4 linked regions of the Kluyveromyces lactis genome follow. The protein of the gene in region 1 purifies or fractionates together with the protein of each later gene. This does not show direct contact. Links are inferred from orthologs where the notes say so. Each region holds a gene or a part of one and is shown on either strand. Other genes may lie near its edges.

Evidence for each region.
Region 2: the proteins of RRP46 (region 1) and ECM16 purify together in Saccharomyces cerevisiae (affinity purification with mass spectrometry; 3 studies listed by BioGRID). This does not show direct contact. The link is inferred for Kluyveromyces lactis from reciprocal best matches to the Saccharomyces cerevisiae genes RRP46 and ECM16.
Region 3: the proteins of RRP46 (region 1) and LRP1 purify together in Saccharomyces cerevisiae (affinity purification with mass spectrometry; 6 studies listed by BioGRID, with this or other methods). This does not show direct contact. The link is inferred for Kluyveromyces lactis from reciprocal best matches to the Saccharomyces cerevisiae genes RRP46 and LRP1.
Region 4: the proteins of RRP46 (region 1) and MTR3 purify together in Saccharomyces cerevisiae (affinity purification with mass spectrometry; 7 studies listed by BioGRID, with this or other methods). This does not show direct contact. The link is inferred for Kluyveromyces lactis from reciprocal best matches to the Saccharomyces cerevisiae genes RRP46 and MTR3.

What each region holds. Positions count from the first base shown.
Region 1 is NC_006040.1:1,263,570-1,271,458, forward strand, and holds RRP46 (exosome non-catalytic core subunit RRP46), read right to left. Parts: upstream 3,861-7,889; coding exon 3,183-3,860; downstream 1-3,182. Other genes in the region: VAS1 (valine--tRNA ligase), read left to right, coding at 1-3,029; thiamine transporter TPC1, read left to right, coding at 4,234-5,187; PIS1 (CDP-diacylglycerol--inositol 3-phosphatidyltransferase), read left to right, coding at 5,556-6,233; ALE2 (Ale2p), read left to right, coding at 6,591-7,577. UniProt on the Saccharomyces cerevisiae protein: Non-catalytic component of the RNA exosome complex which has 3'->5' exoribonuclease activity and participates in a multitude of cellular RNA processing and degradation events.
Region 2 is NC_006042.1:1,595,131-1,604,498, reverse strand, and holds ECM16 (ATP-dependent RNA helicase ECM16), read left to right. Parts: upstream 1-4,602; coding exon 4,603-8,418; downstream 8,419-9,368. Other genes in the region: DNA helicase RAD5, read left to right, coding at 1-3,212; SAS2 (histone acetyltransferase), read right to left, coding at 3,279-4,238; RSC58 (Rsc58p), read left to right, coding at 8,735-8,790, 9,010-9,368. UniProt on the Saccharomyces cerevisiae protein: Probable ATP-binding RNA helicase. Required for 18S rRNA synthesis. May play a role in restructuring of the pre-rRNA.
Region 3 is NC_006041.1:1,506,210-1,513,801, forward strand, and holds LRP1 (Lrp1p), read left to right. Parts: upstream 1-5,393; coding exon 5,394-5,927; downstream 5,928-7,592. Other genes in the region: YSP2 (Ysp2p), read right to left, coding at 1-1,311; SCF ubiquitin ligase subunit SKP1, read right to left, coding at 1,676-2,224; PEX3 (Pex3p), read right to left, coding at 2,530-3,981; KLLA0_E16985g (uncharacterized protein), read right to left, coding at 4,426-4,944; DNA protein crosslink repair co-factor UBX5, read left to right, coding at 6,186-7,592. UniProt on the Saccharomyces cerevisiae protein: Required for exosome-dependent processing of pre-rRNA and small nucleolar RNA (snRNA) precursors. Involved in processing of 35S pre-rRNA at the A0, A1 and A2 sites. Required for activity of RRP6 in 7S pre-rRNA processing.
Region 4 is NC_006042.1:1,686,000-1,693,860, reverse strand, and holds MTR3 (exosome non-catalytic core subunit MTR3), read left to right. Parts: upstream 1-3,963; coding exon 3,964-4,674; downstream 4,675-7,861. Other genes in the region: KLLA0_F18370g (uncharacterized protein), read right to left, coding at 1,150-1,689; CHO2 (phosphatidylethanolamine N-methyltransferase), read right to left, coding at 4,856-7,405.

The sequences.
Region 1 (7,889 bases):
CCAAGCAAGCACAGAACCAAGCCGGACAAGCCAAGAATGCAGCCAAGAAGGAAAAGAAGAAGAAGGAAACGGAGCCAATCCCTGAATTTGTGGATAAGACGGTCGCAGGTGAAAAGAAGATCTTGGTTTCCTTGGATGATCCAGCTTTGAAGGCTTACAATCCAGCCAATGTCGAATCCTCTTGGTACGAATGGTGGAACAAATCTGGATTCTTTGAACCAGAGTTCACTAAGGACGGTAAGATCAAGCCAGAAGGTGTGTTCACTATTCCAGCTCCACCACCAAACGTTACTGGTTCTTTACACATCGGTCATGCTTTGACTATCGCTATTCAAGATTCTTTGTGTAGATACTACCGTATGAAGGGTAAGACAGTGTTGTTCTTACCAGGTTTCGATCATGCCGGTATTGCTACTCAATCCGTTGTTGAGAAACAGATTTGGGCCTCTGAGAAAAAGACCAGACACGATTACGGTAGAGAAGAGTTCGTTGACAAGGTCTGGGAATGGAAAGAAGAATACCACAAAAAGATCAAGAACCAAGTGAAGAAATTGGGTGCTTCTTATGACTGGAGCCGTGAAGCATTCACTTTGGATCCAAAACTTTCTAAAGCCGTTGTGGAAGCCTTCGTTAAATTGCATGAAGAAGGTATCATCTACCGTGCTGCTCGTTTGGTTAACTGGTCCGTTAAATTGAACACTGCTATTTCTAACCTTGAAGTCGAAAACAAGGACATTAAAGGTAAAACTCTATTGTCTGTTCCAGGTTACGATGAAAAGGTGGAGTTCGGTGTTTTGACTTCTTTCAGTTATCCAGTCGTTGGTTCCGATGAAAAATTAATTGTTGCTACTACTCGTCCTGAAACTATGTTTGGTGACACTGCTGTCGCTATTCACCCAGACGATGAACGTTACAAGCACTTACATGGCCACTTCGTTCAACATCCTTTCTTGAATCGTAAAATGCCAATTGTATGCGATGCTGAAGCCGTTGATATGGAATTCGGTACTGGTGCCGTGAAGATCACCCCTGCACATGACCAAAACGATTACAACACCGGTCTTCGTCACAATCTGGAAGTTATCAACACCTTCACCGATGATGGTCTATTGAACGAAAACTGTGGTCCTGAATGGGAGGGCACTAGGAGATTCGACGCTAGAAAGTTAGTTATCGAAAAGTTAAAGGAAAAGGGTTTGTTCGTTGGTCAAAAAGACAACGAAATGACTATTCCAACATGTTCGAGATCTGGTGATATCATTGAACCATTATTGAAGCCTCAATGGTGGGTCTCGCAAAAGCAAATGGCTGAAGAAGCCATCAAAGTTGTTAGAAACGGTGAAATTACCATCACACCAAAGTCTTCGGAATCTGAATATTTCCATTGGTTAGAAAACATTCAAGATTGGTGTATCTCTAGACAACTATGGTGGGGTCACCGTTGTCCTGTTTACTTCGTGAACATTGAAGGTGAAGAAAACGACCGTAACGATAACTCATTCTGGGTGTCAGGTAGAAACTTGGAAGAAGCCGAAGCTAAGGCAGCCACTAAATTTGCTGATAAGAAGTACACTTTGGAACAAGACGAAGATGTTTTGGACACCTGGTTCTCATCTGGTCTATACCCATTCTCCACTTTAGGATGGCCAGATAAGACTCCAGATATGAGCCAATTCTACCCAGCTTCCATGTTGGAAACTGGTTGGGACATTCTTTTCTTCTGGGTTTCCAGAATGATCTTGTTAGGTCTAAAGTTGACCGGCTCTATTCCATTCAAGGAAGTATTCTGTCACTCTTTAGTTCGTGATGCTCAGGGTCGTAAGATGTCTAAGTCCTTGGGTAACGTTGTTGACCCATTGGATGTTATCTCTGGTATCAAGCTAGAGGATCTACATGCTAAATTGTTGCAAGGTAACTTAGATCCAAGAGAAGTCGAGAAGGCAAAGAATGGTCAAAAGGAATCTTACCCACACGGTATCCCAGAATGTGGTACTGATGCTTTGAGATTTGCTCTTTGTGCATACACCACTGGTGGTCGTGACATTAACTTGGATATTCTCCGTGTTGAAGGTTACAGAAAGTTCTGTAACAAGATCTACCAAGCTACCAAGTTTGCTTTGTTGAGATTGGGAGATGACTATAAACCACCAGCTTCTGAAGCTCTTTCTGGCAATGAATCCTTAGTTGAAAAATGGATCTTGCACGAATTGACTGAAACTGCCAAGAATGTCAACGAAGCATTTGAAAAGCGTGACTTCTTGAACTCCACCTCAGCCATCTATGAATTCTGGTATTTGGTCTGTGATGTTTACATTGAGAACTCCAAGTACTTGATTCAAGAAGGTACAGAAGTTCAACAAAAGTCTGCTAAGGATACCTTATATATCTTGATCGACAATGCATTGAAAATGATCCATCCATTCATGCCTTTCATCTCTGAAGAAATGTGGCAACATCTACCAAGATACGCCAGCGAAACTTCTCCAACTATCGTTAAGAGCTCATACCCAACTTTCAAGGAAGAATTCCACAATCCAAGCGCTGCTAAGGAATACGAGCTAATCTTAAACGTCACAAAGGATGCTCGTTCCTTGTTGGCACAATATAACATCTTGAAAAACGGTAAGGTGTTTGTTGAATCTGCTAATGAATCATACTACTCCACTGTCCAATCTCAAAAAGATTCTATCGTCTCTTTGATTAAGGCAATCGATGAAGTTTCCGTTGTGAAATCTGCTGCTGATATCCCACAAGGTTGTGTGCTACAATCTGTCAACCCAGAAGTTAACGTGCATGTGCTTGTGAAGGGTCACGTCGATATCGATGCAGAAATCTCCAAGGTCCAAAAGAAGCTAGACAAGACTTTGAAGTCTAAATCTGCCATTGATAAGATTGTCAACAGCAGCGATTATGAACAAAAGGCCAATGACCAAGTGAAGCAATTCAACAAAGAAAGATCAGAGCACGCTGCCGCTGAAATCGAAACCTTGGAAGCTACCATCGCTAACTTGGAAGCATTGAAGTTGTAGAATTGTTTTGTTATTTGTCCAATAGATTAGATTACTCTCTCTGCCGCTGCTAATGCGAATTATATAAATGCAAATATATATAAATTGTATATAAAGATGATAACGTTAATTATAAAGTTAATTTATAAAGAACCATGGGTGCAGGTATACCCACTACTGTCTCCAGACGAAATCTTTGGCGACTTTATCCTTGATCACTGATCTCAACTCTGTGTATAACCGTATACACTCTTTCTCACCTGTTTCTAACACTTTAAACAACTGTGACTCGTCAAAGCTGCCTAAACTATCAAGAAGAAGCAGGTTCCTGACATCTATATCCCCGTTCTCATTCGTGCCCAGCTCTAGACAGTATACGTGGACCGATTCACATTTAGCTAGCTGCGATTCTGTTGGGTTCACCACCAGCTGCTTCCCTTCAGTGGTAATACCAATACAAGTACCAGAACACATACTGAGTAACGGTACACCAGCATCCACCAATGCGAGCACCGCTGCGTTAACACATACACTGACTTCTTTCACAGTATAATCCCTGCTTTCTCCCGCTTCTAATACTTGGAGACATATCTGCACAAATTGACGTGGATGCAAGTATCTCGCAAGCACTGGGGTCAACACAGAACGGATCTGATCTTCCATTAACTTTTCCCTCGTACTCTGTACGCCTTCAGCAGGCTTCACGATGATCTCTAATGCAAGTTGTGTGGGCAACTCTTGCCTAGACTTAGGTTCCATGGGTCCCGAAACAGAACAGATAACTTTAGTTCCGCTGTTTGAAACAACAGAAGAGCCATCAACATGGCCCAAAACATGCGTCGTAGTCTCCATCTTGGCTAGAAAATTACTATAGGTACAATATAACAATCAATACGCAGTCGGTATAGACGGTAATGAGCCACTACAGTCCCTCTTTCCCCATCTTTTGAATGTTATGTCAGGATGAGATGAGATGAGCTTCAAATTCAGAAATTTTTCACTTTTAGGATACGCAATGAATAGATATGAAACTAAGAGGTTGGAGATGCAATGCAATTGATGTGCCAGAGACCCTTTTAGCAGGGCATGTATGTGGTAATTTATAAATAAGGAGATTGTGTGTAGGTCTGGCTTCATTTAAGTTCTGAGAAGGGAGCGAGAGACCAGCATTCAGTGAATCTTCAATCCATCAAGAGAGAGGGATTTATTTAATGACGAAGAGAGAATGAACACTGGCATAAGGAAAGACCATCTCAGGAAAGGTGAAACGGTATCATGGTACAATTCAGTGATTGCTGGTTCTGTTTCTGGGGTATTTGCTAGGATGGCAACTGCACCAATGGATACTGTAAAAATACGATATCAGTTACAACCGGTACAAGAGGACAAATATAAGGGAATTGCATCTACTGTGAGAACTATAATGAAAGAAGAAGGACTTCGAGCGTTATGGAAAGGAAACATCCCGGCGACGGCGATGTACGTTGTTTACGGTGCAGTACAATTCGGATCTTACTCGTGGTTCAACAACGTTTGGTCTGCGAAGTTCCCTCGGTTTTCACAGCAGGGACAAACGCTAACGGTCGGAGCGTTGGCAGGAATGACTAGTTCAGTGGTATCTTACCCGCTAGATTTGCTTCGGACAAGACTTATAGCAAACAGAACGAGCCATCGGACCAGTGTCGCAGAGGAGTGCCGACAAATGTGGCTCAATGAAGGTGTACGAGGTTTTTTCACTGGAATATCCACTGCGATGACAACGGTTACTTTATCCACGGCTATCATGTTTCTCACATATGAGACCGTGAATATAGTCTGTGAAAACCACGAGAAAGAATTCTGGTCGCGACCTGTAAGTGCTAGTTCAGGGATCATCGCAGGGTTTGTATCCAAGACGATGGTGTTCCCCATTGACACTTTACGTCGCAGAATGCAAGTGATGAACTCTAAGAGAACAGTTCATTTCACCAAATTCCCTGCTGTTTACCACGAGTACAGGTATAAATCATCCACTGCAATTATTTACAAGATACTAAGACAGGAGGGTGTATCAGCGTTGTACCGAGGACTTACAATGGGACTATGTAAATCTGTTCCAACGACAGCAATCAGTCTTTTCGTGTATGAACGCACAATGGATCTCTTTGATCACGGACAGCGCTGGGGGAGATCTCCATAGGACAACTGTGGATATATCTCATACCAACGGAGGATGTTACAGAGAGCGTGTTTACCTCCAGTATATAGTTGATGTAGAGGAATATCCTACTGTGTATAAGTCACGTGATCAATATCAGAATCATTTAATGATAACTTCCAAACGAATCAAAGCAACTTACCGATGGCTGATGCAAAAGAGAAAAAGAGACGACAAAACCAGTCGGTACGGCGCCACTTCTAGCTGCAATTGACGCGTAGGATCTAAGTACAAGTGGTAATTCTTATTTTTGGTGTTACTATTGCGAAGTTGTGCAGATTGTTTCTGGAAACTACTTAAATTAAGAGCCTCGACGAGTTAACAAGAATAATCTCGTGAAATAGTTTCAAATGTCCGCTGTCACCGCTAGAGATGTGCTATGGTACATCCCAAACCAGATAGGGTATGTGCGTGTGGTGACGATGTGTTTATCGTTGGTTTTGATGGCCAAGCATCCGTTGTGGACGATGGTAGTGTATGGAGTGTCTTGTTTGTTAGATGCACTAGATGGGACAATGGCACGTAAGTACGGCCAGATCAGTTCATTCGGTGCTGTGCTGGATATGGTGACAGATAGATCCACCACCACAGCATTGATCTGTTTCCTATGCGTGGCATATCCGGTATGGTCGCCCGTGTTCCAACTACTAGTTGCCTTGGACATTTCAAGCCACTATATCCACATGTACGCAACGCTAAGCACAGGGTCTCAATCGCACAAGGCCATCGAAAAGGAACAATGGCTTCTCAACTTATACTACACGAGACGTAAGGTGCTATTCACGATTTGTGCGTTGAACGAAATGTTCTACATGGGTCTATATATCAACGCCTTCCCTCAGTTCAAATCGTATTACTTCCCATTGCTTGGATCCACCCATATCGGAGCTATCATCGCGCTGGTGTGTCTTCCAGGGTACATATTCAAGCAGATTGCCAACGTCGTTCAACTAAACCGTGCTGCGTTGATGCTTGCCAATAAGGACGCAGCAGAAGCCACTGAGAGAAGAAGTGCAAAGAAGAACTAAGAGTTCCTCCCCATTTATAACTACCGAATAGAATTTACCGATATATATATATATATATATAAATACATCAATGAACTAGAAATCTAGTACTCTGAAAGTGCATGCCACCTAACGCCAGAATGTACGGTCCATAGCTTGCGTACTTTACCATATATCATCTTTGTCTCATCTCGTATTTTATGATGGCATCTCTCGAGCAGCTTTATGGAACAAATTACTGTAAATCCACATTCACCACTTCAAACGGAACTAGATCAGAAGGAGAAAAAAAGGCTTTGTGCTACTACGGATAGACCAGCAGCTGTGGTACTGTTTCCCTCGAGGTTGAGAGTTTTGTTGCCTGTTCAATAACCAAAGATGAGTAGTTCTTTGTTTAGCAGCGTCGTTCCAGCAGCTGTTTCCGAACAGATAGATCTGTTCACGACCTATGTGATGTCCTTACCTCCGCACCCTCATTTGACCGAGTACGTGATCCCATATCTCGAATCCAATGGATGGATTACTTCGAATGTGATTCTATCCAATTTACACACTGTGTTGTACATTGCCGTCGGGTATCATGCGCTATTCCTGTTATCTCAACGGGTCTTATTCCCACCTCTAGCTTCTTATAGGTTATCCTGGGATCCGGAGACTACGAAAGACCAACGTAAGTCTAAGGAAAAGCAGCATGCAGACCTTGTCAACCAGAGTGCCGTTCGTCTGGTGAGTTGGATCCAATCTCTGATCGTGCTTTATCTCAGTTTCGAGGCCATTGCATATAACAATGAAAAACCAGATCTAAACTCTCACGATCGTATCTTTGGCATGGACCCATATAACGTGAAGGTATGCGTTTTCGCAATTGGGTACTTCCTATGGGATATCTACATTTCATTGGTCTACTCTACCCTCCCATTCGTGCTGCACGGTTTGATCTCTACGGTGGTTTATGCTATTGGTTTAAAACCTTACATCAACTACTACGCAGGTATTTTCCTGATGTTCGAGCTATCCAATCCATTCTTGAATATCAGATGGTTCGGGATCAAGTACTTGCCACAACTGACCAAAGACTGTCAGACTGTCATGGCCAAGGTGTGTAACGTGATCCAATTGGTGAACAATGTCGTTTTGATCTTGATCTTCTTCTTGGCAAGAATCTGCTGGGGTTTCTACCAATTCTACCAACTGTGTACCGATTTCTACAACATCAGAAACGATCCAAGCTTCTTACCTCTCGAAACGGCCATCATTGTGACCGGTAACCTGATCCTTGACGTTTTGAACTTATTCTGGTTATCAACCATGCTTTCTGTTGCTGTCAGAATCATCAAGAAAGGTGGTAAAGTCCAAGATAAATGAAGATAATACAAAGCGAGCGACCGGCGAATAGACCCTCAGATTCTGAGGCTCGTCCCGCCGTGTAACATTCTGCCTTATAAACTTTTATAAATCTATTGAATTTAGATACAGAATCCCGAGAGATAAACTAAATATCCTTACGTACATCCAAATCAAGTTCTTGAATAAACTCTGACGATTTCCTGAAGCACACTATAGCAGCCTCCTCATGCCCTAAATTGCTATTCTTGGACCGTACACGGCTGAGCCCATGACTCTGTTTTGAGTTTAATCAAGAGAATGTACATAAATAGAATCGAAATAATTGGAATT
Region 2 (9,368 bases), on another chromosome or scaffold:
ATGTTGAAAGTTCCTCAGAAGTATCAAGTAATACATCTAATCATAAGGAAAGGTTTTTTGAATCTTTGAAGGAGATTCTTGGAGAAAATATGATTTCGTCCTCTCAACTCCACACTCTTTGGAGTTCATATGGTCTGCTCAAAGATGGTATAAGTATTGCAGCTGATAAATTCTTTGAGGACAAGGAATTACTTTCCAAAAGTAAAACTGAATCTAAAATGCCGGCTGGTGATAATATAGAGGTGATAGATTTGTCGGATGAAGAAAATGATGACGAATTGTCTATTCTGCCGTCTTCGTCCCAATTATCCCAACTGTTTACAAATAAGAGGACCAGCACCCAAGCAGGTTTAGAATCACCTATGTCATCTGACAAGGGAAGGAACCGATGGTCTCGTTACATTGGGTCTATTCATACTATGGGATTCGCTACACGGCCAACCGTAAAACCAGTTCCTATCGGATCCCGTTTAGGTTTTAAAAAATCTGTACCGAAGGATCTTCCCTTAGGTAAATCACTTCAGCACCAGCACTGTTCGCATTTAGTTCGCTTAATCGATACCTCACAGGATAGAGAACTTGGTCGAATGCCTGAAGATGTTGCAAGAATATTGTACCCACTTTTAGACTACAGCGAACAGGTCAGTCTGGAGCCATATCTTCTCATTAATAATGGTAAGAGATTCAGTGTTGGAGATAATATTTACATCAGAATTGATTGTTATTTGACCTCACAGGCTTTCGTCCGCATTGAAGGCGGAAGTATTCTGAACAAATCTTTTATCAATGACCATGGCATGGACACACGTCAGTTGCATCGCGCCGGAGCGATAATGGCATTGTTTGATGCGATAAATATACAACCAGTGTACGGAGACACCAAAAATGAGATGATACCTAACTACCAAGAAAACACTGTTTCTAGTTCCCAGTTTCAGGATGAAGCTTTGAACATCAATCAACTAAAATCATTTTACAGAATTACACAGTCCGCGGCCTCATTGCAAAACTTACCAGAAACTACCCCAGATGAATCACTTTTTAAATTGCAATTGAGAAGGTACCAAAAGCAAAGTTTGTCATGGATGCTCAAAAGAGAATACGAGTATAGTCATTTATCAGAGAAAGCCGCAGAAGTGTCTATTGATGGGAATAGTATGAATCCACTATGGAAGAAATTCCGCTGGCCATCTAATTCAAAACAAGGGACTCCAAACCACGAAGATGATTGCTTCTTTTATGCTAATTTATACACTGGTGAGTTTTCTATCGAGAAGCCGGTCATTAAGACGATAATCAATGGAGGTATTTTGGCGGATGAGATGGGTCTAGGGAAAACAATATCAGCTTTAGCATTGATTTGTACTGCTAGCTATGATGAGGCTCATGAAAAGAAAATTGAGTCAACCAAAAAGCCTTCTATGAAGGAGATGTCTTCTCAAGTGGATTCCTCTCCATTACGCCATTCTCAACATAAGCATGACACTTATGCTTACAGGACGACGTTGATAGTAGTGCCGATGTCCTTATTGAATCAGTGGCAATCAGAATTCGAAAAGGCCAACAAGGACCTCAAAAAACGTTGTGAAATTTATTACGGGAATAATATTAAAGATTTAAGGGCGTATGTGCTTGGCCCCAACGCTCCCTCAGTAATCATAACTACTTATGGGATAATTCAGAGCGAATATGGGAGAACCTCAACATCGGGATTATTCAATGTGGTCTTCTTTAGAATAATATTGGATGAAGGTCATACGATTAGAAATAGAAGTACAAGGACATCTAAAGCTGTCATAGCCTTGCGGAGTTCCAGAAAATGGATCTTGACAGGAACACCAATCATCAATCGACTTGACGATCTATTTTCCTTAGTTCAGTTCTTGAACTTAGAGCCCTGGTCTCACATCAACTATTGGAAGCGTTACGTTTCAGTTCCTTTCGAGAAAGGTAACTATGCGCAGGCATTTGATGTCATAAATGCAGTATTGGAGCCTGTGCTTCTCAGAAGAACGAAGAATATGAAGGATGTTGATGGCAAACCTTTAGTCTCTTTACCTCCAAAGGAAGTAATCGTCGAAAAGTTGCAACTTTCATCCAGTGAGAAAAGAGTTTATCAATCCATGTTAGAAGATGCGGAAAACTCTGTTAAAGAAGGGTTGGCCAAAGGTGATCTATTGAAGAACTACACTAATATCTTGGTCCATATTTTAAGACTTAGACAAGTCTGCTGTCATTTGGATTTACTCAAAAAGACACCAGATCTCGGAGACCCAGATCTTGAAGATCTGGAGAACTCAACTCAAAACATCTCCTCCATCCTCATGCCAAAAAATATTAAGTCACCAAAAAGTTCCATTTCTCAAGATAAATTGGATGCTTTAAGTGCGAACTTTCGTGATATTCACAGCGCTTCAGAGCAATTACCTTCTTTTGAATGTGCTATTTGCACCACTGAGTGTATTGAACCGCTGTCTGCGGTCTCTATAACAGAGTGTCTCCACACATTTTGTGAACCTTGTTTGGCAGAATACATTGAATTTCAGCAAAATAAAAAACTATCCATCAACTGTCCATATTGTAGAATGCCGATCTCAGAAGCTAATGTGTTAAAGCTAAAGGAGCCAATTGATGCTGAAAGAGGATATGAACTAATTTCGTTTCATTCACATTTCCAATCGACTAAAATTAAAGCTTTATTGAGGCATCTCAAGCAAATACAAGAAACTTCTCCTGGTGAACAAATAATCGTATTTTCTCAGTTCTCATCATTCCTAGACATTCTAGAAATAGAGCTACGTTCGCATTTGCCAAGAGATCAGGTAATTATTTACAAATTCGACGGACGGTTAGATATGAAGGAACGGACTAGAATCTTGGAACAGTTCCACGATAAGGATTTGAGTTGTATAAAGTTATTACTTTTGTCGTTGAAAACTGGAGGTGTGGGATTAAATTTGACTTGTGCATCAAGAGCGTTTATGATGGACCCATGGTGGTCTCCAGGTATGGAAGATCAAGCGATTGATAGAATACATCGTATTGGTCAGCAGCAAACTGTCAAAGTTGTCCGGTTCATTATCGATAATAGTGTAGAAGAGAAAATGTTAAGAATACAGGAAAGAAAGAGAATGTTAGGGGATATTGTTGAGGGTGATGAGGCAGAAAGGAGACAGAAGAGGATCGAGGAAATCCAAATGTTGTTTCAATAGACTATCATGACATTCAATCATATAGAAGCCTTTTAGGGCTTTGCATTTAAGCTGTTATTTAATTCGTTAATCATCAAGTAGTAGATATTCATCTTTGATCATAAATCCATGGGATACCTTGTTGCGTCTTGCCCATGAACGGATGATATTGAGTCTTATTTCAGAATCACTTAAACAATCAAGATATTTGAGAGCTTGAATTATATCATTGATTCTAAAACCAGTGGCCTCGGAAAGATCCTTCAAAGTGACCTGGGCCACATCTTTCAAATTACCTTCAGTCAACTGCCAAACTATTGAGAAAGACCAAAATTTAAGATAGCCAATTAAACCGAAAGGAGATAGAGGAACTTCAGGACCCGAAATCAGACCCTGACATCTTGATAAAGTGTAGGAAAACTCAATCAAGAGAGTACCCAATCTTCTTCTTTGATAGGGCGGAAAGACAAGAATACATGCAAGGTTATTTTGGTGGTAGGAATATAAGTCTTTTGAAAAAAATGCCATCGGTACTGTAGAATTGTTCTCATACACAATATAGAATTCGAAATGCTTAACTTTGAAGTAGACAGACTTGTTATCAAGAAATAGCTTAGTAAATAGACATAAGCATTGGCAGAAAACTTCATGCTTAGAACCTTTTACCCTTCGTATAGTGTATTCGGGGCTTCTGTATTTTATTCTACCGGGTGGCTTATTCTTATATCGGCAAAAGCACTCATGTGCGATTAACTCTGCTTCATCATCAGTGTACTTGAAACAATATTCACATACGTATAGGGTATCAATCCAATACTGATCTTCAAACTTCTTTTCAGTAGGGCTTTGTTTTGCGGTGTGCTCATTGTTCGATTCCTTGAAGCCCAAGGTCCTCTTATTTCTTCCAAAATAAACATTACTCCCGTACCAAGTTGCAAATCTTTTATTCAAGCCAAATTGGACGTGCCTAATATTAGGCTTGTCAAGAATACCATATATTTCTTCATCCTCTGTTGAGCTGTTGTGCTTATCAGGTTTGGGAACCATTCATTAATGATTTGAAAAGAGGCAAAAAATGCGATTTATCACGTTTCCCAAATTTAATGAGTACTTGAAAACCCAATTAACGGTGGAATCAACTGCTCTTTGAACTTAAATGTACAAAAGATTGCCTATATCTTTGAATTATCAAAACGTTGAAAGCGACTTTCTTTTTTTTTTTTTCATCTTCCTTTATGGCAGAAAAAGCTTTAAAGCTCATCGCATCTCATCGCATCCAAGCTCACCTGCATCTATATATCAAAATCTCGTTGATAACAGGCTGGTAGTCTGAATGTTATAGGCCTCTGTGACATTAACAGTCAAGAGAAGTACCTCGCACGTTAAACGGTCAAAAAATTGAACAACAAACATGGGTACCTATAGGAAGCGCTGGAATGAGAAAGCACGCGCGGGTCAGATGTCTAAGTTGAAGGAGTTGAAGAGAGTAAGGAATAGGCAGTTCACCCGTGCACTTGAAAATTCTTCCGATGCTGATTCTGAAGAAGGTAATTCATCTGAAGATGAACATCATGAATCACCCGATCATCAGGAAGATACGAACGCTGCTGTATTGAAACCCATGACGGAGGAAGAGAAACAAGAGAAAAAGCGTAAATTGGAAGAGCTATTCACACCTAAGGAAACGAAGGTCTCTAGGACGAAGAAAAAAAGGTTAGAGAAGTTCATCGAGCATCAATTGAAAAGAGAGGAGAAAAAAGTTTTGATAGAAAAACTTCAGGACTATAAAATTGATACTAAGCTTTTGACAAGTTCTAAGATTTTGGGACAAGGAAGGCAAACTAAGAGGCAAGGGATTGAAGAAGCCCTCAAATTAGAAAGAAATGGACGTGGTGATGAAACTACCAGGGAAATTCTTTACGATGAAACTGAGGTAAGGGATTGGTATCAAGATCATCCAGAAACTAGGCCCAGTCAGGAAAGCACAGCTGAAAATTGCAATTCGGATAGTGATGAAACGGACCATACCAGTTCAGATCACCCTATTTCGGCAAATACTGGGGGATTTATTGATAATAGACCCAGTAAATTTGGTGGGTCAGGTTTTGGTTTTGGATTCGGTAATGCAAAGGTGGTGAATAAAAGGGCCTCGAAGAAAAGGTATAACTGGAAGCAAAAGGTAGAGCAAGAAGAACGTAGAAGGCGTAAACTGGATGATGATCAGGATTTTGAATCTGACGAAAGTGAATCAGAAGAACATTCATCCACTGCAGAAAGTGAACCTGATGAGAGTGAATCTAATAGTAATGCTGATAGTCACAGCGATGATGAGTCGAGTGAGTCTGACGGCGAGGAAAGATCGGATTCAGAAATAGCGCAGTGCAGAAACGTAAGTTCTTCAGTTGCCCAAGAATTTAAAGAGTGGGCAAATCAGGAAATTAAAAAGCTTGAAGGTAGAGATGTAGAAATGGTTATGCCTTCCTCCAACATCAAGGTCGATAGGACCGAGAGACCTGAAGACTTTGAAGATGGACTCAAAGCAGATGAATTTAATGTGAACGAAAATTCAACACGTAAGGCTTTTTATGTCAAGGTACGGAGATCTGATGCTGTTCAAGCTGTGAGAAGCGCACTACCTGTTTTCGCCGAGGAACATAGAATTATGGAAGCTATCCATCATAATGACGTTGTAATCATTTGTGGTGAAACTGGTTCAGGTAAAACGACACAGGTACCGCAGTTTCTTTACGAGGCAGGATATGGTAATTCGTCCTCAACTGACACGCCTGGGATGATTGGAATAACACAACCTAGAAGAGTGGCCGCTGTCTCTATGGCTGGACGTGTTACTAATGAGATGGGTGATCATGGCGAATATGTAGGATACCAAATTCGGTTCGATTCTTCTACCAAGGATAAAACAAGAATGAAATTTATGACTGATGGTGTTTTGCTAAGAGAGATGATGAACGATTTTAGACTTTCTAAATACTCTTCTATCATTATCGATGAAGCTCACGAGAGGAACATCAATACAGATATTTTGATTGGTATGTTAAGTCGTTGTGTCAGCTTACGTGCTAAGGAGCATGCAACTGATCCGGCTAAGTACAAAAAACTTAAACTAATTATCATGTCTGCCACCTTGAGAGTATCAGATTTTAGTGAAAACCCTACTTTATTCCCTGTTTCTCCACCTGTCTTAAAGGTCGACGCCAGGCAGTATCCAGTGGCTGTACATTTCAATCGTAGAACAGCTTATAACTATGCTGAAGAGGCTTTCAGGAAGACGTGTAAAATACATCAAAGGTTGCCTCCTGGTGCTATCTTGGTTTTTATGACAGGACAGCAAGAGATCACGCACATGGTAAAAAGGTTAAGAAAAGAGTTTCCTTTCCCCAAGAAACATCAAACTCTCATTCAAAATGACCACATACCTACAGTGAAAATAGATGCCAAAACTGCAGATGTAGAAGCTGAAGATATCGACTTCAGTGTCAGAGTTAGAGAGGAACAAGAATTTGACGATTGTTTACTCTCTGATGAGGAAGATATTGAGGACAAAGAAGAGGACGAAGAAGAAGGTTTTGAAGAAACACTTGAAGAAGGTCAGACGGATAGAGATCCACTATATGTTCTTCCTCTTTACTCGCTATTGCCCACCAAAGAGCAAATGAAGGTCTTCCTTGATCCCCCACCAAACTCCAGATTATGTGTTGTTGCTACTAATGTGGCAGAAACATCATTGACCATACCGGGAGTAAGATACGTCGTTGATTGTGGTAGATCAAAGGAAAGAAAGTTTGATGAAAATAATGGTGTTCAGAGTTTCGAAATTGACTGGATTAGCAAAGCTTCTGCTGGCCAAAGAAGTGGTAGAGCAGGGCGTACAGGGCCTGGTCATTGTTATCGTTTATACTCCTCTGCAGTTTTCGAAAGAGATTTTGAGCAGTTTTCTAAGCCTGAAATTTTAAGAATGCCTGTGGAGAGTATAGTTTTGCAAATGAAGAGCATGGCTGTTCATAATATTGTGAATTTTCCATTCCCTACCCCACCCGAAAGACCAGCTTTGATGAAGTCAATAAAGCTCTTACAACACCTAGGTGCACTCGACAGTAATGAAAGAATCACTGATGATGGTAAAGCAATGAGTTTGTTTCCGCTAAGTCCAAGATTTTCTAAAATGCTGCTTGTTGGTAATGAAAGCGACTGTTTGAAATATGTTGTTACCATTGTCAGTGCCCTTTCAGTAGGTGAGCCGTTTTTATCTGAACAAGAGCTTGGTATCATGGATACTGTGCCCAAGACACAAGATGAAGGACAATTAGATGACTATCCTGATCACGAAGCTGAGGAAAGAAAAAGGCTATTGCGCTCCAAGTATGTTAAAAGCAAAATTAGATTTAGTAAGCTTGATAAATTCAGTGATGTTTTCCGTCTTTTAAGTGCAGTATCTGCGTTGGATTTCATTCCAAAGGATCAGCACAGTTCTTTCATGGAAAAAAATTTCTTAAGGGCAAAAACCGTAGAGGAGATTATGAAGTTGAGAAAGCAGGTGATGTTCATCATCAGGTCAGTTACTTCGAGAGAAAATGTAGCTGTAAATGTTAAAGACGAAGACTTGAAGAGCTCGATCCCCACCGATGTTCAAATCAAATTACTCAAGCAAATGATCACAGCAGGATTTATCGACCAGGTGGCCGTTCGCGCAGACCAGTTATTCCCGGAAGACGTTACTATCAACAAAACCAACATTTTCAATATCCCTTATGTTCCAGTCCTTGCTGAGAAAACATCTTCTTTGGATGATATCTTTGTTTATATTCATCCAACCTCAATTCTCAACAATTCTGGCGAGCAACCTCCGAAATACTTGGTTTTCCAATCACTACATGTCAATAAAAATAATGAAAAGGCGAAAACAAGGATGAAGTCTCTTTGTGACATTAAAAGCACGCCATTGGCTAACGTTGCAAGAAAGGGCTCGTTACTCACTTACGGAAAACCAATCACTGGACAAGGTTTGAAACCTATTGATTTATCGCCAACAGAAAGATTCTGCTATGTTGTTCCTAGATTTGGATCTTGCAATGATAGCGACATCAAGATTGGTTGGGAACTCAATCCTATCCCTGTTCATCAAGAGAAAGAGAAAGGTGTATGGACGGTCAAGAAATTCCTTACTCCAAAAGCATTTAAAAACTATCAAGCTTCGAAAAGACCCTAGAACTACACCAGTACAATTTATAGAATTAATTAACTCATATAATACCAATTGCATTGGAATAATTAAAGGCCAATACCTAGCTTGTTAGGCTATGACTGGGTACTGTTGCTGTGACAGGAATCTCTGTAAAAGCTGTCAATGGATGCCAGTTGGATCATGATGTACGGTTTTGATGTTTTTCATAATGAAAACACAGGTTTTGGCGCAGGTTGATCAATAAAGGCTTCTTACATTACTGCTGAATGACAAACTGATGGGCAGTGAGAGAGTACAAGGTCTGCAAACTCTTTTATAGTGGGCTAAAAATAAGTAAACAATGGTAGAGCTGCTAAAAGAGAATTTTTTTCAGAACTTACTAACTGTTTTAAAAGGGTATGTGAATATAAAAACAACACATTTTTCATTCGAATTATGTTGCATTCGCACATGTTTTTGTCTAGAATCGGTGATAATAATAAATTAAAGACCAGCATACGATGACCTGGGGTTCCTCAAGTCTTTATTTTATGTTTTCAGTGTTAGATTTGCCAAAGCATGATTTTATTTTACAATCAAATACTAACAGTATTAATTTTATTTTGATTTAATTAGTGCATCTTCGAAATGCAGAGCTTTAGATGAAAGGTTTCCTAAAGAATTCTACGAGCCTGATCCAACACACATATACGATTCTTACGTGAAGTTTCTAAGGGCCAAGTTTGATGAAAATCCAGATATCAAAATAGCAGAAGATATTGATTCAATTTCCATATCTGATAAATTTGCTAGTGGAGATTACCAGAAGCATGAAGATTCTGTTTATCGGATTTACCATGATATTAAATTAGTATGCTCCATTTTAATTCACTACTACTCTCAAGGAACGAGGTCGTACCAAATGGTCGACAAATTCTACAAATTTGCAGCAGAATTGATTCTAAGGGAATGTTATAGAGTTGGAGCCAAACTGG
Region 3 (7,592 bases), on another chromosome or scaffold:
GTTCCTCGGCCTAGTTTTTTCGAATGAAGGACTGGCAGAATTTGTATTGCTGTCCGTATTTGCATCATCATTAGGCATTGAGAGTGGGGACGGAGACGATACCGGTCGATCTGGTTGGTCTGTGGTAATCAGCACACTTGGTGTATGAAAGCCGGTGGACTTGAGATCATCTTTGTCCTTTTCAATGGCATCTAAAGTTAGATTTCCCCTCCCAAAGGTCGAAATTGGGGGGGCATTATCTTGCTTTACTGATGTAAATTTGACTTTATCCATGAAAGTTCCCACAGAACCAATATCATCACTGTTATTACCATCTTGATCGCTATCATCGTATAACGGCACGGTAGAAGACGGATTAGTCATTTGTTGAGAAATGGAAGATGTAGAGGAGTCGCTGGTATTAAGGGTGTCTAGTGTCGTCGCCTTCTTCAGTAAATAATCATTATTCGAGCTGGGAGCAAGAAGGAAGTCTAAATGATTCAGAAATGAGCCTGTATGGTTGTATGGATCATTACTTGTATCTGTACCACCAATACCAGAAGTCAGCAACTGAGTTCTATCTCCATTGGACGGTTCATCGTAAAGGCTGCTACTACTCTTCAGTGAACTTTTGGGTATCAAATGGTTAGCAGCGTTATGTGCAGCCGATATTAGCGATGAAAAGAGGCCGGAATCAGATTCGTCTGGCTTACTCTTTACGGGAGTCGCACTATCACTTTTCGAAGACTTGAATTTGGTGAACAGAGTCGTTGATGGTACGTCAGATAGAGAAGCCTTGCTATCGCTTACCCGTAACCTCGAACCCAATGGATCAGTGTTCTCTTCCCTTGTCATTGCAGTTTGATTGAAACCCTCAGTGGAAGACGTATCATTTCCTGCATTTAATGAATTCTTTCTCGGAAGCCTCGACAATGATGTAGAAATCCTCAGCGACCTCGATCTTGACTTTTCGCCAGACTGTCTGCTACTACGAATCTTGATGCTTTGGATACCTGAACCCGTGCTTGAAACATTGTTCTTATCAGAGGCATGATTCGCAGATCCTGCTTTATGGTCACTCCCATCCATCAAATACACCTTATCATAGCTCGAATTCGACGATAATGCAGATGCATCATCATTGACATTGGGTTTCAGACTCGTAGACCGTAGCACACGTGTATTGCCCTGAGACTTTGGTTGACTCTTGTCCTTATCCTTTTTCTTTTCCTTGTTCTTCTTCTTGCGTTTGTTTAAATTTAGCAACGAACTAGTATTCCCGCTTAGCGATCTTAGTCTGGATTTGGTCTCCTCACCAATGGTCAACGTCATCACAATCCTACACCAAGTATACCAGTAACAAGGGTCCTATGGTGCATCTATCGATGCAGTTCTGCCTTGAATAGATAAAACCAGAAGCAAAAAGTTTCAATTTAAGGTAGCGCGTTCTTTAAATATTATATATAGGTACAAAAATGAAAAATTATCGGTGCAGAGACAGACCTTGAAGCTATAAATGCGATATGAAAGCGATCCCTGCGTTTGCCCATGACTCAAATTCACTACTTCAATTAAGATCCGCTTAACAAGCAAGTACTTAAATTATTGATTACATACGGGAAATGAGGGAAATTGCTATTTTAAACTGAAGAGGATGTAGATACAGAAAGAGAAAACAACAAGAAAACTTGTAAGTTTAACGGTCTTCTGCCCATTCGTTTTCACGTCTTATGGCAGCTTCTTCCTCTGGAGTGAAATCGTTAACGATATTGAAGGTCCTTCTGATTTCTTCAGGTGTTCTGCCCCTAATCATCTCCGCAACAACTTTACATCCAGCATCCAACAATGGCTTGATATTTAGATAGTTAGCTGCTAGAATAATCTCATATAACATTTCTTGGTCCACTTTCAAGAACTCACGGTCCCATGGATCCACAGGCGCAGCTTTCCTCGAATCGTCGTCATCTTCATCGGGGAAATTGGAATCCTTGTGATGAACGGCCCATTCGATCACTTTCTGTAATACTGACGACCTCACATTGGGCACGGGCATCACTATTTCATCGTCACCATCCTCTTCATCATCTTCGTCATCGTCAGCATCGTTATCATCATGCAAATCGCCACTGTTAAGATCTTGCAAGTAGTTCTTTAGTAAAAGTGAGCGTTCAGCGATCTTCCTGTCAACGACAAATCTCTCTCCCTCAACACTCACTAAAACAACGTTCTGGTTTTCCTTGGACATGATTTTCTGGTACTAAATAGAACCCACTTGGTAACTCTATGGTGCTAACTAACTACAAACACCAAGCTCCTATCCACTTGCAAACATTAACTGAGATGTATAACATGTTGATTGACAACCTGTTGGGAATTCGATTCTTTTCGTTATTTGACCTTAAGGAAAAGAAAATTATGATCACGTGGCCATTAAAGAAACAGGAAGAGAAACCCCGTAGTGCCAGTGAAAGAGTAACGTTAACTATAGAACTATCTACATACACGGTATGGAGCGATTTCAGTACTTGAATGGAGGGCCAAGTAAGGTTTTCATAGACCGAAGTTACTATATACGCATGCACTGAGATCGTCAAGTGCCGAGATGGAGTGTAGTTTCTGTAGGAACTTGTTGTTCATTGATACGAGTCCCGCTTTCAACATTTCGTTTGTGCAGTCTTTCGTGGCGATAGAGAATAATGCGATTTGATATGAATTTTTGGATATATCGACTACTTTGGTGTCGTCATCATTCGATTTAGGTTTCGATTTGCTGTTGACATTATCCTCGATTTGTTCCATGATTGTGTGGAATGTTTCATCGATTAAAGACTCCAGGACAATCCATGTTCCAGGTGATTGTAGGCATTTGTTGGTCTCTTGTACAAGTTGTTTTAGTAATAGATTATCCTCGTATAGTACTTTCAAAGCATCTTGTTCTAAAGTTTGTTGAAGAACAAATCTCTCTAAGTTAGGTTCAGGAAGTAGACATGAAATGAACATTTCATTCGATTGTGGCTGTTGAAAGAATTGCTTGTTTGTGGTGACGAATATCTTGCTTATCTTGCCACTGAACTCATCCATTGTCATGATATCTCTTGGGTTCGAATTTTGGAACTCTTCTTTCACCAATTGTTCAATGATACTCTTGTATTGTAGGTATCCACGGTTTAATAACCACCACGATAAGGATAAGAAAGCTTGTTCGTTAACGTATCTCGATTTTTCAGGGTTCGCAGTGGATGCAATGCTCCTTGTGTCCGTGTCAATAGTACCATCGCTGTTTCTTGGGTCAGCTTTTTCACTGGGTAAATTGTTGCTCTTTTCAGTGATCCAACTAGAGAACCAAGATAAGACTGAGTATTGATTAGCCTTCTTTTCCCTTTCCTTTTCCATGGCAGAATTGATGGCAGTATCCAAATACTCTCTTCTTGCCAATATATTCAATTGCAATCGGGTTAAAAGCATCAATAATGATGTGGTATAGGACAAGATAATGATCTTGGTGATAGCTTTGAGTTTCAAATCGTCCCAAAGCTCGGCCTTGGATTTCGTAGACGTTTCAGAAACGCTAGTGGTATCTGCAGATTGCGGAGATTTCGCTGACACACTGGGTGCAGGCGTCATCGCACTCATTCCTGAACTTAAGCCCTCATTTTCCAACTCATTCCCAGCTATTTCACCTTTGGAAAGCTTCTTCTGTAACTTTTTCCCCTTTAGAGCCTCTACAATAGAATCAAGATCGAAATCCTTAGCCAACACTAACGTCATTACCGGCATCAATTCATAAAGAGTGTACAACGAGTCCTGCTGAGTTTGTACAAACCTCCGTTTGATCTGTTCCTTGACAAATCGTTGCTCCGTCATTTTCAAATGCTGCTTGTACAACCATCTTTTACTGAAATAGACCGTAATAGCGCATGTAGCAAATAGCGTAGCAAACAAAACACTAGAAACAACGAACTTCTTTCTGTGTCTCTGAACCAGAGATCGATTCCCAGTCATGATGAGGGGTAAAAAAATAACTTATAACTTAGAGCAATGTAATTCTTCTATTGATTTTCCACTACAGCCGTTGTCAGATTGCGTGTAGAGCTTTCCTAGTGTCGTTGTTTGTCTTGATACTTTATTGATGTTGATGTTTACTTGCTAGTTAGTTATTTTAATGTTTTTCGAATTTTGTTTCCCCCTCAAAGAGCGACAAATTCGACAGATTTAAGAGAAAACATATACCAAAGAGATAGAATTGCGTTGGGTATTGAACCTCTATGGTTCTGCAACTGGTGCCAACAGATATTTTATAGTGTATCATTACAGCTTTATCTTTTACTATACATATTATATGTGTATATGTGTATAATTGGTCAAAAACGTTCGCATGACTCAAATAAAAGATGGATCATATATGTGATGTGTCGAATCTCAAACGAAAACGAAGATTACATCCACCTATTGGCGTTGCATCTCAGTGAGACGTTTAAGATTGGCCAAGTTCTCCAGGATCTGGCCATCTGAGATCATAATTGGGGTTTGCGTATCGTTGCGGAAGTAATCTTCTGCACTTGTATGTGCTAAAGGTGGACAGAGTCTGAATGAACCAGACCGATCCATTTGATGTTGGAAGGGGGAATTTTCCGAATAGAACGCAGTTCTATCGAGTTTGACTTTGAGATGGTTCTGCTGTTCGTCGTTCCCGTTCTTTTGGTATAGGTTCTGTAGAAGCGGTTGCGGTGGCTGTATTCCAGCCTGAAGCGATGATGACTCGTGGTTCAATAGGAAGGATACGTTCATCTGTTTAGAGTTCCGCTGCAAAAGCTGATCCATTTCTGTGACGACTTTCTGCAAATTTGATGCCAAGGTTGACCATGATTCTGCATCGCTTGGCGAGAGCGAGTGTGCTTGCTCACGATATTTCTCACGAACCTGTCGTAGCTGTGTCTCTATATTCGATAAGTCATCAGCGACCATTATCTATGCTGACGAGAAACAAACTAAAGTACTTCTTGAGCTAGGCCAGTGTTGAAATTAAGTATACTGGCGGAGGGTGGATGTTACTTCAACAGTCCAAATAGGACTACTCGCCCTGTATTGAGTACAGGTTCTCCATATATGTGGTATGAATGTGTGTAATGTCTTGCGTTTTTTTTTTTTTTTTTGGCAGGCAAATATGGAATTTTCGCTGGATAAAGAAATAGAAATATTACTGAAGTACTTCTACGTGCGAAACGCACGCAGATTATTATGCGTTTTGTTCCATTGCGAAAAATTCGCAGTATTATGTTATTGATCGAAAATTTTGATTCAGTGAAGAATACTTCATCTCGGTATTATACAGCTTCATCTCATCTCATCTCATCTCATCTCATCGCTGCCTCAGTCGACAACGACAAGAACACGGACCACATACAACTACCAGCATGGAAGATACTAAGAAAATTAAACCATACATCTCGTATCTCAATAAACAGGTGGAACAACTCAGTGGTGAGATTAACAAACTAACGAGCAAGTCATTGGACGAACAACTGTTGCTTCTGCAAGATGAAAAGAAGAAACTTGATCTTTCAAACAAATACGCATATGTATTGAGTTCACTATGCTTTTCATACATGAAAGTCCTCAATATCAAAGACCTGTCACCTATCATGGCCGAATTGGCAAGGTGTAAGTCATATATGGATAAATCTAAACAGTTAGAAGCTAAGAAAGAATCTGAAGAGAAGGATGAGGTGGAGCAAGAAGAACAAGCAAAAAGAGTTCTACAATCTGCGTTGGGAGGTGGCAAAATGGAACCTGCTATCAGTAAAGTCAACTTTCAGGGGAAACATACTAAGTTTTCGACAGAGGCTTCCACCACCAGCACTGATAAGGATGGACTGGCAAATCGAGTAGTAGACGGAACAAAGAAATCAAAACAGCAAAAACAATCTGGTAAAGTATCGAAGAAATAATTCATCTGAAATATGTCCTGGCATGTTCATCCATGTATTCCTGGGTCTTATTCTGGCATTCTATATTAATAATTAGCATCGCATTTTTCACTGACATAACAAGTTGTATAGTATAAATACACTAAAATTGGGAAACAAAAAGAAGGAAATTCCAGTTGGCAAACGTGAACAAGAATTAACCAAAGATACAGGTTTCAAGTGGCAACAGAGAGTTACAGAGACCAGTAAAAGGATTAAAAGAAGTACATTTCAATAGCCATGATATCTGACGAGGATATTTCAACTTTCCAAGGTGTTTGCGGTACAGATAACGATGAATTGTCAAGACATTTCCTTGAGATGGCCGGAGGCAATTTGGAAACAGCCATCTCGTTATTCTTTGAACATGGTGGTGAGAGACAGTTGAACAGCAATTCTGGTAATAATAATGCCGGTGCTGGTGCTGGTGCTAATACAGGGGGTTCTGGCGGTCTGAGTGGCGACGTAGAGTTTGCTGAAGAATTACAAAGACAAGCGTATCAGGATGAAGATCAATATAGGGCTCCGGATCAGGCAAGACACGAGACATTGGTGGAGACAAATGTGTTTCCTAGTGTTTATGGTGGTATTGGAGGTTCTTTTGAACCATTGCGTAATGCCAGGGATATGTTTGACAATTCAAGACCTTCAGGAATTTTTAATCAACAATTAGACACAGACCTACTACGTTCTGGTAGATCTAACAACTACCATCGGGATGACGATGATGACGATAGTGATTCTGCGTTTACTGATGAAGAAAATTATCCCAGTAATGAGGATGAGTACGAATACGTAGAAGAAAACGTCGTGGAAATAGACGACGATGGTGAACTACGGGAATATACGAAATGGGTTAAGAAGCCAAAACCAATGTCAAAGGAAACCAGGCTAGCATTATTGTTTAGACCTCCATTCGATTTAATGGCAAAATACGATCTTGACACTGCAAGGCAAAAAGCCAAGAAAAGGAATAAATGGGTAATGATTAACATCCAATGTGCAGATATTTTCCAGTGCCAGATGCTTAACAGAGATCTTTGGTCCAATGCAGGTATAAAATCCTTCATAAAACAAAATTTCATATTTCTGCAATATCAATATGAATCAAGACTAGCATCTGCCTATGTACAACGTTATGGGTTCAACGATAAGGAAGATTGTCCTCATATCGCCATCTTGGATCCAATAACCGGGGAGAGGTTGAAATTTTGGAGCCGTGAAGTGCCAACTGTGGAAAATTTCAGACAAGAGCTAGAGATATTTCTAGAGGAATTCTCATTAGATCCCACTACTACTAATCCACCTGTTAAGGAACCCACTCCAAAGATTGATCCCAGCACTTTAAGTGAGGAAAAACAGCTTGAATTGGCCATACGAGAATCGCTAGGCAACCAGACTCCTACTACCTCGGACGAAACAAATGAGAAATCTGATCAAGTGGAAGAAACCGAAGAAACTGAAGAGCCCGACGGAGCGCAATGGAAACTCTTCGACTCAATCAAACCAATAGAACATGCAGAACCTGATAACAAACCTGGAATCACAACCAGAATACAAGTACGATCCGGTGATGGTAAAAGACTAGTGAGAAGGTTCGATGCAATGCATGATACTGTCAGAACGATATATGAGGTTATCAAATCT
Region 4 (7,861 bases), on another chromosome or scaffold:
AAAAGGGTTAGGCTAATAATATTTAAGATACATAAAGCTTTCGAAGCATTCGTTATCTACTGTTTAAATTGTTCATCGAATACCACTTCAATTTTTGTTCGACTTTTTTTTTTGTAAGATTTTTTCATAAACGTGACTAAGAAGGAACGATTCAACCAAAAAGAAAAATAGAGATGTGTCATTACTGTCATTTGGATCAAATCTGCGACCAGCTCGTAGATTTCACGCCATAAAGAAGTCAGTTAAGAACAATACTACTTAGAACTCTTCAAGGGGAATATCTGCCCTGATTTTGGATCTTTTATGGTAAAGGCGCTTGTGAACTAAATATCATATGAATATTCGATCCAAAAAAAAAAGAAATGTGTATATATGTATGGGAGCAATTGACACACCTCTCAAACTGGATAGAAAAGCGGTCTGAAGATGATCTGGTAGAATTATGTTCAACCTAATTCCAATGTATTGGTTATTATTGGATAACTGGAGTAATCTAATGTCTTTTCACAGGTATAAATGGCAATCAGCAGCTAAACATATCCTGTTTTCTATGTGCAACATGAATATACTTAGAATAGGAGGTATTACTGACTGCTATTGAGTTAGACCCTCTGTCGATCTGAGGGAGAATAGAGAAGACATTTTATACTTTAAAGTTGTCTCATCTAGCGGGAGGTCTTTTACAGTCCACTTAGAAAATACCGTGGTGAAACAGGTTAATGCATTTTGACCTTCAAAGAATTTCCTGTCGAACAGAAAGAAAGTGCCTCCTGGATCATCTGGTCACGTGACTCAATTCTATGCATTATCCAAACCGATTGTTCCTGATTAAATTAAACGATTATACAATACGTTTAGTATTGGACGCAGTTATGTAAATATGTTGAAATGGAAACGGCATTAGCAGCTCGAGGTAGCGGTAAATTTGCTTTGAATCAGTAAAAATAACCAACATGGATTAACATCACATATCGACGGGAATTTCTACTCTTTTGGAGGTGACCCTCTGAGAAGCAGCCTAGCCAATACAGTTTAGAGTGACTTTTTTTAGACGGATGTTCCGATACATAAAAATTCCATCATCTTTAATTTTACAGATCATACATGCTGGAAAGTAAAACGAACTGTCACTTTGAGAGAATATTCTGCTCATTCATCGGCATTCTTCTCGATCCAAGTTTTCAACTGAAGCCAATTCACATCTTGAGAAGTGAGATCCGGTTGAGTGAATGTATCTACCGGGAAAGTTTTCCTCACAGCAACTAAGGTTGGGATCTGTGTGACACCAAACCGTAACATCGCTTCTCTGGTTTCTAGGAAATCAGTCTCCACATCACAGATATTAATTCTCTTATCCGTTTCTAAAAGTACAATCCTGTTTAACGCTCCAGTTAATTTATTACATGTCTCATTTCCTCTAAAGGTGAAGTTTAAGATTAAGGGGAGACGGTTGTTGAAAAGAAGTACGTCATTCAATTCATTGTCGTTCCTGATAGGTAAAAAACACTGATTCTTCCCTGTCTTCACATATGATTGCGATGGTGAAATGTTCTCTTCCTGGGTGAACGGATAAATTATCTTGGACCACCATGAGTTGTTCCGCACTGTACTCCTATATAAAACAGGTTTCACAGAATCAGCTCCTATACGTAACAAAAGTTTGTGGTTTTGGGTGATTGTTTGTAGCATAATGAAGGTCCCTTAACGAGTAAATGTTTTTTCTTCTGGTATGTTATTGTGGTCTAATAGAACTTAATATAATGGCCTTTTCGCAATGTTTTCCCCTAATCTACATAAGAGTTGCTGTTGGTAAATATAGTTTAAAATTAGAGTTTGGTTTTCGACGGCTTGTTCATAAATTGGGTCACGTGATTAATCCTTTTTTTTAATTATGGAGAGGCTTCTTTTTCATTCGAGCTTTGATGTATGACGGATAGCGCCAAGGGTAATGTTGATACATCCGAACACATCTTGGTTAACTCTTGGAGAATAAAATAGTAAAGCACTTGCAAACAGGAGTGTAAAACAATAGCATTTAAATGAGATAGTTCGAGTCTACCGGCGTAGTTGAAGGTTTTAGTATTAGATGTTTAGGTAGAATAGTAATACGAAGATTCCAACGGTAACACAAGAGTATGGAATTAGTGGGCAGAGTCACATGACTTGTGTTTTTTTCCATAGGTAAACATGCGAACAGAAAGGTCGATTATGATCAAGAAAGATTTGATCTGAAATGTATACTCATTTGCAATCTCATTTCAAGAAAAAGTCTACGGAAGATGTTTCATTTATGGGAATTGCTGATCATATGCTGTATATTTTTCTTATACTGTTAAACTATTCCAGTAATATGCCCTGTAAGCCTGTGAACTGAAATGAATGGCAACAAAAAAAAAAAAAAAAAGGAAAATGGGTGCCACGTAAGTTCATTATATACAGGTGGTTTTCAACGGGACTTCAAGAGAATAACAGCTTCTATGGCCAAGTTGGTAAGGCGCCACACTAGTAATGTGGAGATCATCAGTTCGACTCTGGTTGGAAGCATTATTTTCTTTTTGCAGCTCCCGTACAGCCGCCTTGCTATATGACAATGACCCTAGATCACTCTGGTCTACGATTAGCATCGTAATGCTACCGCGATCTGATGTCAAAGGTTTCCTTACAAAGAGAGCCAAAACTTATGCATCAAATTTTTTAAGATTGGATTGCCGTAACTTTAGTCAATACTTTTCCTCCCTCTTCTGAAGTATGTACGAGATAGTACATTAAGTTCAATATACTCGTTGTTCCCTATGTAAAGATGTATGTTGGCCTTATTCAACGGCTTTCTGCCTTGATGTTCTTGTTTTTACGATTCAATCTCTCTTAGATTGTTAGTTTTTGTTCAAGAAAAAAGATTGTAGGTTAACTGTCATTCATGATATTCTGTCCTACTGCAACTTGTTTGAATCAATGGACATTCCAAGTTATATGGTTAGACTTTGAGCAATATTCGCAGAGTAGTTTGATTTTAATCAGAGTCCTGGGCTATTGGTGGGGTGTAATATCAAAAATCTTTATAATTTCTGCCAGATGCCTGGAAGAAACGTTACACTAACAGAGTCGGTTTAATTCAAAAATGTACTTTGGTCATCCTTTTCTTCGGTGGTTCAACCAATGAACGAATGACTTGCCTTGATTCTTGAAACCTATGCATGAAAGAGCTTCTGGTGAGAGCATTAGCGAGGGTTCGGCTTTCGATCTGGTCCAAGTGAATAGCTTCTGACTTTGTCTTGATGATACACCCAGAAACGATACTGGCTTTTGTATGTACGACTGGCAAGGCGGGTTAGAGTGGGGTGTTTTAGTTGCCAAATCCCAGGTTGTGAGGGGGGGGTCTCCGTCTGCCCCTCCACCGGTTTGCGAAAACGGTCACCTGGCATGAACCGGAAACAAGTGCTGTTTGGAAACATATGAGAAACATATGAGAAACACCAGTTAGTCACGTGGTTATATAACTTCACAAAGCAGTTCTCTCCGTTTCCTTCTGACGTATGAGGTGATGAGCCGAAAGCTAGTACACGACTCTTTTTCAGAAATACGGATCTATTACTATTTACTGGTTTGACAATACCGGGCGACAGCCACTTCTTCTGTTTAGAAATCATTTCACACGTACTGATCGTCGGTTGATTTGTAAAAAAGTTCCAATGCTGCCTGCCGATAATTTGGAAACAAGTACGGTACGGAAACAAACGGGAAACAAATAGGAAACACATATATATTATCACGTGATGACGTTAGAATTTTTCCATCTCGACTATTTCAATCGTGGTATTCTGTTAGTGACCGTTTTGCAAGTGAATATACATGCGATGAGATGCTTCCAAGTTGACGTTGGCTAGTGCCATATCAGCATATATTTACTTGAGTTTGTTTCCCATCGTTATATTAAACTAATACCCACAGAAGAGAGGTCTATTAATGAGTGTGCAAGATAGAAGAAGAATATTAGGGCCAGCAGAAGCGAAGCCATTGCAGTTTGCTGCAATTACTCCTGTAAGAACCGTAGAGAACAGGGACGATGGTAATGGTAATAAATCGGGTAAGGAATCTGTGTTCATTAGTACGGATTTAGTAACGAATGCAAATGGTTCCTCATACCTAGAATATATGGATGGTACTTCGGATCAAGTTCTCGTAATGAGTTCTGTCTTCGGACCCAGGCCATTGCGAGGCTCCTTCCAATCTAAGGCATCAGTATCGATTCAGTTCAAAGAAGTTACGTTAGAACATTTGAATACCGGAGAAATTAAAGAAATTTGTACTTTCCTAACAAATGTCTTTAATGCGGTGATAAACGTTGAGAAGTATCCAAAATCTGGTATTGATATCTTTATAGATTTGATCCAGCATTCTAATAGTAATCCAACAGAGGAGGCAAATATCGTTAATATTCTACCCACATGCATTAATTCTATTACCATGGCTCTTGTAGACGCAGGTATTGAAATCATTGATTTAGTGAGTGCCGGGTCAAAAGATAACTCTGTGGTTGCGTTTATTAGGAATGGACATGAAATCGTCGGTATTTGGAGCGATGACGATAACGTCACTGACATATCAAAATTAATAGAAGAGTGCAAGGCAAAATATTTGGTAAATAAGCAGACTTTGGTTCAATATCTTAAATGAAATGAAATGGTTAACGTAATTTCATAGTGATTCATAATTAATGTGACACGAACGCTTCTTCTGTATTAGCAAAATAAAAATATACAAGGCTTTACCATTAAGGGTGAGGATTCGTTAGAAACATATCCTATTTATACATGGGTTGATACTTTAGATATAGTTAAGTACAATAGAATGCGATTTATTCCAAGTTATCTAACACTTGCTTGATTTGCCATACTTTTTTGGTGATAATATCGATATCAAAATTGGTACGTTTCATGTAAACAACGGAAACATCGGTGTCCATAGTAGACTTATACCAGTTTTGTAATGTTTTCCCAGTGAAATATTTGTTCCTATTCAAATCAAATTTATTATCATTGATTAGAACACCACATTGTTTCAAGAACTGCTTCGTGGTAGCAATTAATTGGTCCACGTCTTTTACAGTTTCTTTAAATTGAGGGAATAATAACTTGAAAGGTTTCGAGATCATAACAACATCGTGACTGTTAGCACTGTGGTATCTAAATTCATAAATACCTTCTTCAAAGCAAAGGATACTCTTATCGAATTTTATAGATCCATAAGTGAAATGGTCATTTGAATCGAAATGCAAAATCTTCTGATGATCTTCAGAATATGAAGAGCTCGAAGATACCGCCGACCAATGTCCTTGAGATGGTATCTTTGTAGTTAATCTATCTTCACCAGTTTCAACGACTTTGTAAAGTCCAATCCAGTCATCTTTGTGGAAAGCTTCATTGGTAACGGCCCATTTGATTTCGATTTCTTCTGGAATCCGAATCGTATTTTCGTCATTGATGTTGACGATATCCAAGTTAAAGTGGCCGGTGCCTTGCAAATTTTTCACCGTTTGCTCTCTAATCAAAAGCATATTGATAATCGATTCCCAATCTCCCTCACGATCTGCTTCAGCAACGCTTTGTTTTGGCACTAGACTAGTGAATAAATAATCATCGAGCAATTGATCAACTTTATCGATTAAACTCTTGAAATCCTTACCAAATTTGTACTTGGTCAAAGTCTTTTCGAAACCACTAGATGTTGGTTTGGTTCCATAAACCTTTAACAAATGTGGTGTTTCGATGAATTTAACAGTGAACCAATTGAACATCGTCCATGTAGTGGCTAACCAGAGATTCCAATTTGAAAAATTGTTAATTAAGACGGTCCCCCAGATACCTGCAACACCAAACACACGCTCAGGATTATTCAAGTATCTATAAATACCATCGTTCTTCAATTTCCTTTTGTCAATTAAATTAGGTAGGAAGAAATCACCATAAAACCAGCCAAATTCTTTAATACTATGGAAGATCTCAGTGTTGCACCAAATTTGAATAGCCAACAACAACAACCCAAAGGTTATTGTATTGTAACTACCTGAGTCACATTTGACAAAATGGTAGTAGCATTGCAATACCAAAAGAATATAATTGATAGTGCTGTGTAAATTGTAGATAAACTGCCACATTTGATAAGCATAAATTTCATTGTATCCATTCTTCAAGTATAATGAGGTGAACCATTTGCTATTCGATTGCTTGTATAATATAGTCATATTGATAACAGATGACACAATCTTAGTGGTCAACGCAATTTTGGATAAAGTGACAAAGCTTGGGTTTAAAATTGTGCACCCAATAACAATTGATGCCACGGTGATTAAAGTGATATAATCAGTTGGTTTAAACTTGTCAAAGTTTTTGAAACCCAAGAATGTTGTGACTAATGGCTTGGAATAGTTATCTAATTGTTTGACCATCTTATCATCAATTGATTCCTCTTCGTCGGATGAATCAGATCCATAGATGCGTTCGATATGAGGAGTTTCCACATACTTCAAAAACAAGAATTGCAAACAGTGACCAAGAATGGAAACGAAAAGAACATGATGATCGCCGGAGATTAAACTCAACCCATAGTAGCCAATGTAACCGATAGAATACATGGGATGTGGGAAAACGTTGAAAACACCATCAAAGACAAGGTTTGCGTCTTGCAAAAAGAAGAAATCACCCCAGTACCAAGCATAATCTTTAACCACTGAATGTGCGTCGATTTTGACCCAAATATTGAAAAGGACCATTAAAACACCGAGCCAAACTCTGATACCAATAGAATTGAAGCTAGTGATATTGTTGAGAATATCGTTATGAGGTAAAGAAATCACAACGTAAAGCATGTAAGTGGTAAAATCTTGCATTAAGATTAAATCGACAAACTGTCTGAACAAGAGCCAAGTGTTCCATTCTTCTGGGTAACGGTACAAAGAGTCGCCTTTTTGGTATTTTGCACTGATCTCGAACTTAACAAATCTTGACAAAAGGTTGTTCGCCTTTTTATCAAACAAAGTATGTTTCTTGGCGAAATTTGTCAAAGATTCATAATGGGATTGGTAATGCAATACTATACCGATACCCAAGTTGTAGGACAATCTCCAAAATATGTACTGACTCAAGAAGATAATTTTCGTGGTATTAGCACCGAGATGCTGATAAGCATAGTAGCAAAGAATAACGTTACCGATAATGGTAGCGGTGATACAGCATTCTAGGAAAGACTTCTTCAAAGTTGGATCGAACAATGATCTTACCATGTCATGGGTCTTTGGAGGGTCGAATCTGATAGTCGATGAAGACCTTGGATGGGCTATTGGAATTTTCACATGTGAATTTAACTTCCCATCAGGTTTCAAAACGGTCGATTCACAGGAAGTAGCCATCCTGCGGGTATAATTTTTGTTTGGTTATTTCAGTTGAGTGAATCGATGAAGAGATAAACGATTTAACGGGAGTCTGCTATGGAAGTTGAGTTCCTCTCTGTTGAAAGATCCTTCGTAATGTTGAAATCGAAGTCGTGGTCTTTGAATTACTTTTAACAGAAACTAAACCCAAACCAAAAAACCTCACCGGAAACGTAGAGTTGAATCTTTATTTTTAAACGTTAAGGTAGGAAAGTTGGACTTAAAGAAATCCTGTCTTGATATAAATAATATTCTAAGCGGAATTAGACCGGTTGAATTTAGTGAACTTTTGATTTGAATTTGCTTAGATCTAGTGTTTTTTCACATTCAAAAATACAAAACAGTACCCTAATTGTAATCAGAACGCAAAAATCATATGCTAAGTTCGAGAAAAAGACAAGAAACCACTCCCAAACGTGAAATGTGTCAAAATGT